2 linked regions of the Lepisosteus oculatus genome follow. The protein of the gene in region 2 interacts with the protein of the main gene of each other region in a biochemical or structural test. Links are inferred from orthologs where the notes say so. Each region holds a gene or a part of one and is shown on either strand. Other genes may lie near its edges.

What was found.
Region 1: the proteins of atr (region 2) and atrip form a complex in vitro, tested with the Homo sapiens proteins (4 studies listed by BioGRID and IntAct, with this or other methods). The link is inferred for Lepisosteus oculatus from reciprocal best matches to the Homo sapiens genes ATR and ATRIP.

What each region holds. Positions count from the first base shown.
Region 1 is NC_090699.1:61,370,312-61,374,233, reverse strand, and holds the start of atrip (ATR-interacting protein), read left to right. Parts: upstream 1-1,130; 5' UTR 1,131-1,257; intron 1,258-1,857; 5' UTR 1,858-1,873; coding exon 1,874-2,282; intron 2,283-2,544; coding exon 2,545-2,624; intron 2,625-3,420; coding exon 3,421-3,591; intron 3,592-3,922. UniProt on the Homo sapiens protein: Required for checkpoint signaling after DNA damage. Required for ATR expression, possibly by stabilizing the protein.
Region 2 is NC_090708.1:15,723,175-15,727,096, reverse strand, and holds the start of atr (serine/threonine-protein kinase ATR), read right to left. Parts: upstream 2,776-3,922; 5' UTR 2,652-2,775; coding exon 2,596-2,651; intron 2,419-2,595; coding exon 2,327-2,418; intron 1,488-2,326; coding exon 1,344-1,487; intron 947-1,343; coding exon 57-946; intron 1-56. UniProt on the Homo sapiens protein: Serine/threonine protein kinase which activates checkpoint signaling upon genotoxic stresses such as ionizing radiation (IR), ultraviolet light (UV), or DNA replication stalling, thereby acting as a DNA damage sensor.

The sequences.
Region 1 (3,922 bases), on a different chromosome or scaffold from region 2:
TTGCGCGTCACAGCTCCGCTGCAGCCAATTGCATTGTGAGGTTGGGGGGGTGACGTCACAAAGCCCAGCTCGGCTCCTGCACGTACACAAACAAGCCCTAAGTAGCTGGACCTGGCAGGACGGGGAGACCTGTAACCGTTTTAGCAAATGAATAAAACGGAAGATCAGGGAGCAGACGTTATTCAAATGAAAGCAACAAACAACTATCGCAAATAAGCAGTGGTTAGGTCTAAACACGTAACCTTGAAAAAAAGCGTTTTCCACGGCGGATTTTTTCCCCTAGTTTTTGCTTTCAGCATAGAATAAACCTCTTCTTGACCCTTATACCCAGCCTTTCTAACTCCTTCGAATGAATACCAGAGTAATCGGAGAACATTTTAAATATATTTTTTTTTAGCAGAGGGATGTTACAGTTAAACTAATAACTTGCCCCCGTTTTTTGGAATTCACTTGTTATTTCTTTCATTGTTTTGTAGTATGTACAACAGCACTACTTTAAAAAAAATTGAGTACTATATTATTAAAGCTGCCCAAACTAGGCGTATTGATGTAGCTCCTGGTAATTATTCATGGTGATTTTAACAAAAGGTTTTCTACGAACCGAGTCTCTAAAAAAAAGGGAGAAACCACGTGGAGTTTCATGGAGAACGAAATAGAAAATAAAGCATGTATCCTTCCTAGCTTGGCATGCGAGTGACCGAGGTAAAATAATTTTGCTAAAGTGCACAAACACTGGAATACCAAAGCTACAGAAGACTACTGTTCTTTGATATTTAACATAAAGGAAACGCGTTTAATTATTCAAGAACAAATATCGAGGTCAGTTAAAACTGGAAGGAAAACATTAGGGGAACATTTAACACCTGGTCTCCCATACTGTAAGGGCAAAATGTGTGATTGCAAAGAGTTCAATAAAAACACAATAATACGCTTCGTAGCTATCCTACTATGCCCTGTTCTGTTTTGTTGAAGATAACTTCCGCTCTAACGGCGGAAACAAAATGTGTCCTATTCGCTTTCCGTAGACAGCAACTGCCTTTTTCTCCAATAGAATCGCGTCTTACTTCACAGTTATTGTTAGAACCTGCGATATGATTGGCTGTGGTACTTGAGACGTCTAGAGTGCAGAAATCAATATTGTAAAGTATGTAGAATGAGATGAGGATGTGTTAGTTCGGGTCTGCTTTTGCAGTCTGAATATGAGAATTGTATAATTGAAGTGGCACTACGCAATGGAATTGTGTGATTTAATATCAGGTTTGTTTTCAGGACGTATTCAGTTTTATTTCAGATACTTTATTTTCTGTTTCTCCCAAAAAGTTAGCGAAGTTTTGTTTGAGTTAAAAATGTGTGAGCAGTAGTTCAGTCATTCCCACTTTCTAATATAATATATATTAAATATTTAATATATAGCTTTACTTCTTTATATAATTGTCCATTTACGAATGATAAGCATTTTGTTAAACGTTAAGATAAACCCGATGTGTTCATCCTTCTTTTCTAAAGAGGATTTAAAACATCTCATTTGCTTTCGGTTTTCGGTGTAACCTCCCCAGTTTGTCACGGAAATTAATATTTTTGAATTTTAAAAACTTTTTTCTAAACATGCTTTTGCCTTAAGCGCTTTCGGTTTTATTGATATTCGAAGGTATTCGGTCCTTACCCGACCAGAAAATATGTTTTTTCTTCTTTCCGCCATTCATAAATTACGGTCCGGGTACACATACTGTATACAGTGGGCATACAGTAAACACCAGGGTTAAAAGCTCTGGTGCTGATCGGAGAAGAAGATCTTTACTTATTGTGAGGTCTGTTATTTAGTTTTAATATTTTGTTTATTCTTTTCTGATCTTCCAGAGTACTGATTGTCAGGATGTCTGACTACAATATTTATGCGAACAGGAGAAATATCAGTGTTGCTCAAGACAAATTGGGTGCTTCGGTAGCGGGGCTTTCTGCCGTCACTGGACGACGTTCACCCGGAGACCATGGCATGGAGTGCCCTCCTCTGAAGCGCCATAAGGGAGCAGGTCAGAACGTGGCCGATTGCTTCGGAGAGGACGATGACTTTACACAAGATGATCTGGATGAGATTGATACTATTGCATCCCAGGCATTTACTGAGCCTGTGGAAGCGAACAAACCTGAACAAACCACGAAAAGCAGGCCAACAGCAGAGGTCAGAACTACCTTTGCTATTGGCAACAGTTATCATGTGGGCAGCGATGGTGGGCTGAGCAAGTTGGGCACCTCTGACAGATCCACAACCAAGGAAACCTGCGGTATGCTTTTAAAATGTTGTTCATAACACATTAGAGTGCATACATGTTATCTTGTATAAAATTAATTGTAATGCAGGGGAGTGGAAACTATCAGCAGCTTTTCTAGTAGAACAAAAGTATTTGTTGTGCAATGTATACAATTGTTACATTAACTCCCCTGTTTCATTTAGTAAGTGTTAACCAGTGACTTTGCAAAGGAACCACTCCTGCTGCTCGCTCATTTCATGATTAAAAAGACTGTGGGTTTGGGATTTCCTGACAGGAAATGGAGAACAATTCAGGAGAGGCAGAGAAGCATTCTACGAGTCATTTGAAGCTCAACATGAAGAGCTTAAGAAAAAGGTGAGCTTGCACTAAATTAAATGTTTTTTGAAAAATTGGAATATGGCTTAAAGGTTCTTCTTATGTACAACTGTGACAGTATTGTCACTTTATGCTCAATTTTTTAAAAAATCTCAAATTTCAGTACTATGAAACACCATAGTTACTTCAAGTATTCTATTAGACATCGTTACCCACTCCTTGAGTTGGGATAGGGATTCTGTCTAGTGTCATGGAGAATTTTGGTCAGTTTGGCTGTTGAAGTCCATATTGAGCAGACATTTCCTACTCATTAAAAATGTCTGAGTTGAATGAACGTATGCCGGTCATGAGTTAACAATAAAGCCCGCAAGAACTATTTGGTTTTTTTGTGCATTCCCAGCTTGCTGGGTTTTCTTCAAAGTCTTTGATTGGAGCTGTAACTCACGTATCTTATGCTTTTTAGCAACGTGAAAAGCTGCAGGGGTCTTAGTTAATTAGGGATCTTGGTTAATTGCTTGGTTAATTGGTCAGCTTGAGGCTGACCTAACGGCTTGACTTTCTGACCTTGTTTACACCTGATATGGTAAGAAATTGATACTGTCCAATCAGAAATGTATGTTTGTGTCTGAAAATTTTGCTCATCTTCAAGAATAAAAGCCTGTTGCTGTCCTTACGAAAGTGAGTGAGACACAAGGTTAACCTGTTAAGTCTGTCTGTCCTCCTTTCTTTATTGGAATAAAGAAATCTCAGCTTGACTTACCAAAGTCGTGTGGTTAACTCGGAAAAGGGTCTAACGAGCGATATCTCTTTTCTTTCTCCCTCCCCTCCCTGTCAGCTGAAGGAAGCGGAGTCTCAGCTGCTGATGAAGAACGGGGAGATCCGAGTGCTGCGGGACTCTCTGCAGCACACAGAGCAAGAGCGGGACAAGCAGAGAAAAGCCCAGCTCCTCTTGGAGAAAGAAAGAGCCAACATCCAGAGTGAAAAGGAGAAGGAGCTGGCAAAGAAGGTCAGCTCTATACATTTTGCATCTGTTCTCCCCACTGAGAACTGGTATGTGGGGAGCATACTGGCGCACTATGGGTGCCATCACGTCATCCGGGTGGGGGCTGCACATTGGTGGTGATAGTGGGATTACTCATTACCTGTAAAGTGCTTTGAGTGGAGTGTCCAGAAAAACACTGTACAAGTGTAAGGAATTCTTCTTCTTCTTCTGCAATCATGTTGGTTAGAATCACTGTGAGACTGGAGCAAAGTGGGGTCTGAAAGGCAGGTTCTCTGCCATTTTTATGTAGTGTTGAGTTGCACGTTGCCAGTTCACTTTCCACATATTGTCTGTT
Region 2 (3,922 bases):
TGCAGAAATATATAAGCAGGATCAAAAAGTCAAATTACAAACAGTGCCTCACTAACCTCCTGGTGCCTCCGAGCTCCAATCATCTCGATCAGGGCTTTGCAGATGCCATGAACGCGTTCTTTTCTGATCTGCTCTGCCGACTCGTATCCAGGGGGAACAAACTCCAGTACGAACCGAAATATTTCGAGGAGGGCCGTCTGGATTTCCTCCGACTCAAACCTTTCCAGCAGCCCGTTCACAACGAGCTCGTGGAGCTTCTCCAACACCACGTTCAGGTAAACCCGCTCGAGCTTTCGGTGCGTCTCCGGTTCGTGTACAAACACTAACCGGGTCAGCCTGGCAAACTGCTTCTCAAACAGCTTCAAGGCCGATTTGTCAGCCGTACTGAAGGAATGCAGCACCTGGAGAAAAGCCGCGAAGAAAAAATGTGCGTTTTCTTCGGGGAAACCACCGAGCTCCACAACGCGAGAGATCAGTTCCATGGCTCTCCCCTTTAATTTAGGGCTTCCATACTGCATAACAGAGCAGCTCAGCTCCCAAATAATGCTGACCTCTCTTCTAAAAAAAAAGCCATGAAGGACGTCTGCCAGAACGGTGAGCACGGTGCCTTCGAGCATTTCAGCAGAAATCACTGATGACAGCTGAAAGACTGTAGGCGTCAAATAGGTGGCGCAACCTTCTGGGATCACTGAAAATCTCTCAATAGCAAAAGGCCACATAGGAGGCTTTCTGCCGCAAGTACTTCGTGCATTTCGCTTATTCAAACAGATCAGATCCTGGAGAAGCGCTAAAAGTTCCTTTGACAACATTCCGAATATAACAGGGCATTTAACTTTAAACAGCTGCAGTAAGGAACAGATGACGCTGGCTATCTTCTGATGCAAGGTCTCACACTTAGGGGCTGCAGCAATCCTCAGAAGTCGAGTAATAATCCACTTACTGAAATCTTTAAAACAAAAAGAGAACACTGACTGAAACCACAGAAATCACCGAACTGTAGTTTCATTTAACACAAAAATAGCTGCAGCTAAACTTTACTGTCACGTGTTTTCATTTACAGACATACTGGAAGTACAGGAACTCAAATCTGGCTGTCTGAACCCTGGAATTCACAGGATGTCTTAATCACTTCTTAATTAAGTAAATGAGTGTTCAATATATCCAGAAGCAGCAAATCAAAGAAGTGCAGTTTAACCAGCACTGTTAACTGCCATTAATAAGTAAGTGACTTTATTGGGTGGAGATAGAGGGGACCAACGATGATGTCTGTGACAATACATTCCAAGGTTCATTCTTTTTGACATTAGAGTTAATATATTCATTCATCAAAACACAAAACTCACCAGTGGAACTGTTTTCCATATCCTTGAATTGGCAGGCAGGGTTTCCAAACATCAGTGGGGATGACTTTATGATGTGTTGTATGAAGTCAAGCAACATCATGCAGGCGGTCTGTGGAACATTCTTTTTTGTCAATTCTAAGGCAACTGAAAGAAGAAAGTTTGTAAGATTACTCATTAAATTGTATTGTTTCCTTCTTCTATTAATTTATTGGCTAATGATGCTGCAGGGATCTTATGTTTTGAGCACTGTAACGTGTTCCTCAGGATTTAAACTCTAATGTGCAAAAATGAGTGCAGTGCAGGAGGTTTAAAGAACTGAGCTTCAGAGCAAAGACAATGTTTGTGTGACTTGACCTCTGAATTATTGGAATAAAAGAGTTATTGTTACAATTAAACTAACAGTATCTGCTGATTACTTTAAAGATTCATTAAAGGCTTTTTTGCGATTTTACATTTTTTATACCTCAATCCGAAATAAAAGTCAACTGACAAATCTCATTATCTAATGCAGACAGGATGTATTTCTGCAACAACAATTTAGAAGAGGGTATTTTTGGGATTAGCACCTCATCTTAGGTCCTCAACATGATTTTAGACTGGAGTGACTTCGTTTGGAATTTGCATGTTCTCCACAAACCCACACTGCTTTTTGCCAGCGGCTCCAGTTTCCTCTCATCTTCCAAAGACCTGCTGCTTTGTTGTCACAGGGTACACAAGCACAGGAACGATTCAAATGCACCATTTTAGGTAGGTGCCTCTAAATTGTCCCCAAGTATGTGGACTGTACAACTATCTGGCGACCTATCCAAGAGTTAGATCCGGCTTTGCTTCAGAGACAGCTGACACTAGCCAGGAACGAGAAATATTTTCTGAAAAACTTCAATAACTATATTTTCGATTTTTAACACTTTCAGGATTTTAAAACGGAAAGCTACGTGCGTGTTGTTTAACCTAATGAGGAGGCAAACACATTTTCCACTTACCCAGATTTACGTCTGTCAATATCCTGTCAATAAACTGGCAGAGTATTTGTCTGGGTTTCTGGACAACACTGTTGTACTCCTCCGGGGGAGCGCTACAGACAAAAAGAAGCATAATTTATTAGCTAAAATACGTGGCTCGTTAAAAAGGATTGTCATATAATGCAGTGTATAAACTAAAAACCAGGTAGTTCACGAAGTTAAAGTTATTTTGTTAGACGTCAGATCTCACAGAATGAACTATATTTCCAAGATGAGTTAAGAACACTTACCTCCCAAGTTCCTGCAAAGCAGGAATCATGGCTGCCATTTCTAAGCCTTGGTCCATCTTTGTGTTTTTTTAATAATGTACATTCAAAGTGGACGTAGATATATTGTGTGCACTCTTTTGTACATTAAGTCAGCAGCATTTCATGACCACACGCATATCTCAAAACTTTCGCTCCCTCGCTGTAACGCAGCGGTACGGCATCCAGCGAGGGACAAATGTCTTCCCAGCAAGAGCAGAAGTGAACTTGAAGTAGTCGTCTGGGACACAAAGCGTGTGAGTTCCGTGTGAGCTCGCATAAGCTTAAACCTAAGACTGTGCAATTTTTGGCTTGTTTTAAGCAACTTTAAATCATGACTGGCAAGTGGAAAAATGTTAGCCTGCTAAAAAGTAACGGACTGATCTGTTTTATTTCGAAGGCACCGAGAGAGCTGTGGCATTTTGTTTTATCATTAAACGTCATACTACCACAAAATTCTTTCTTTCACCGATACCTCATTGGTATACTGTACAGTTCTTTACTAATATGATCCACAGACATGACAGATAAAAAATAACATTTTATATTTAAGAGAATACATACAAAATACTACAGTAGGTTTTATAGGCTGAATCATTTGCATACCTGTATACAGTATGAGTACAAACATTTCCAACTAAATGTAACGCTTTGCTGAAGTCGACACCCTAGCTTCTTTCATAAACTGCTGGATCAGATCCCTGACTAACCACGGACTGAATGGCCTCTTCTTATTTGTAACCTATCTTGTGTCCTTAGGTCAGTGCTGTAATTCAGTAGTCGATGAGGACGTGGAAATCAATGAATAACAGATCAGTGGGTGGTTAGTGTCACACAACGTCCTCATGTTTTGTTCCTTATGTCTCTTACGTGTCTAATATGCTTCAGGAAACATGACAAGTGGAGCAGAGAACTGACATAGACCTGTGAGTTGTGCTGATATTTAAGTGTACTGTCAGAGTCATGTATTTTTTAAAATGCAAATAACTGAGGCAAAGACCGTGTATATAACCAGTAGGAGTGGTGAATGATCATAACTTTGATGTAGAGTTCCTGGTTGTAATAAATTAACATTTCTGCACGCTTTGATAAAAAGTAGGTTGTTAGAATAGATTGCCTACACAACTGAAAGAAAAGTTTACCTTATAACGATACTGATTTTGATGACAGGATAACTACTAACCTTTGAAACCCTTTAGCATGTACTTCACATTCTGTTTAGTATTGCACTAATCAAGCAATGTGAAATGACTGAGATTGTCTACCATTTTCTCTTAATATCTTAACAGTGTCACGCCCTCTGCAGCCAGAG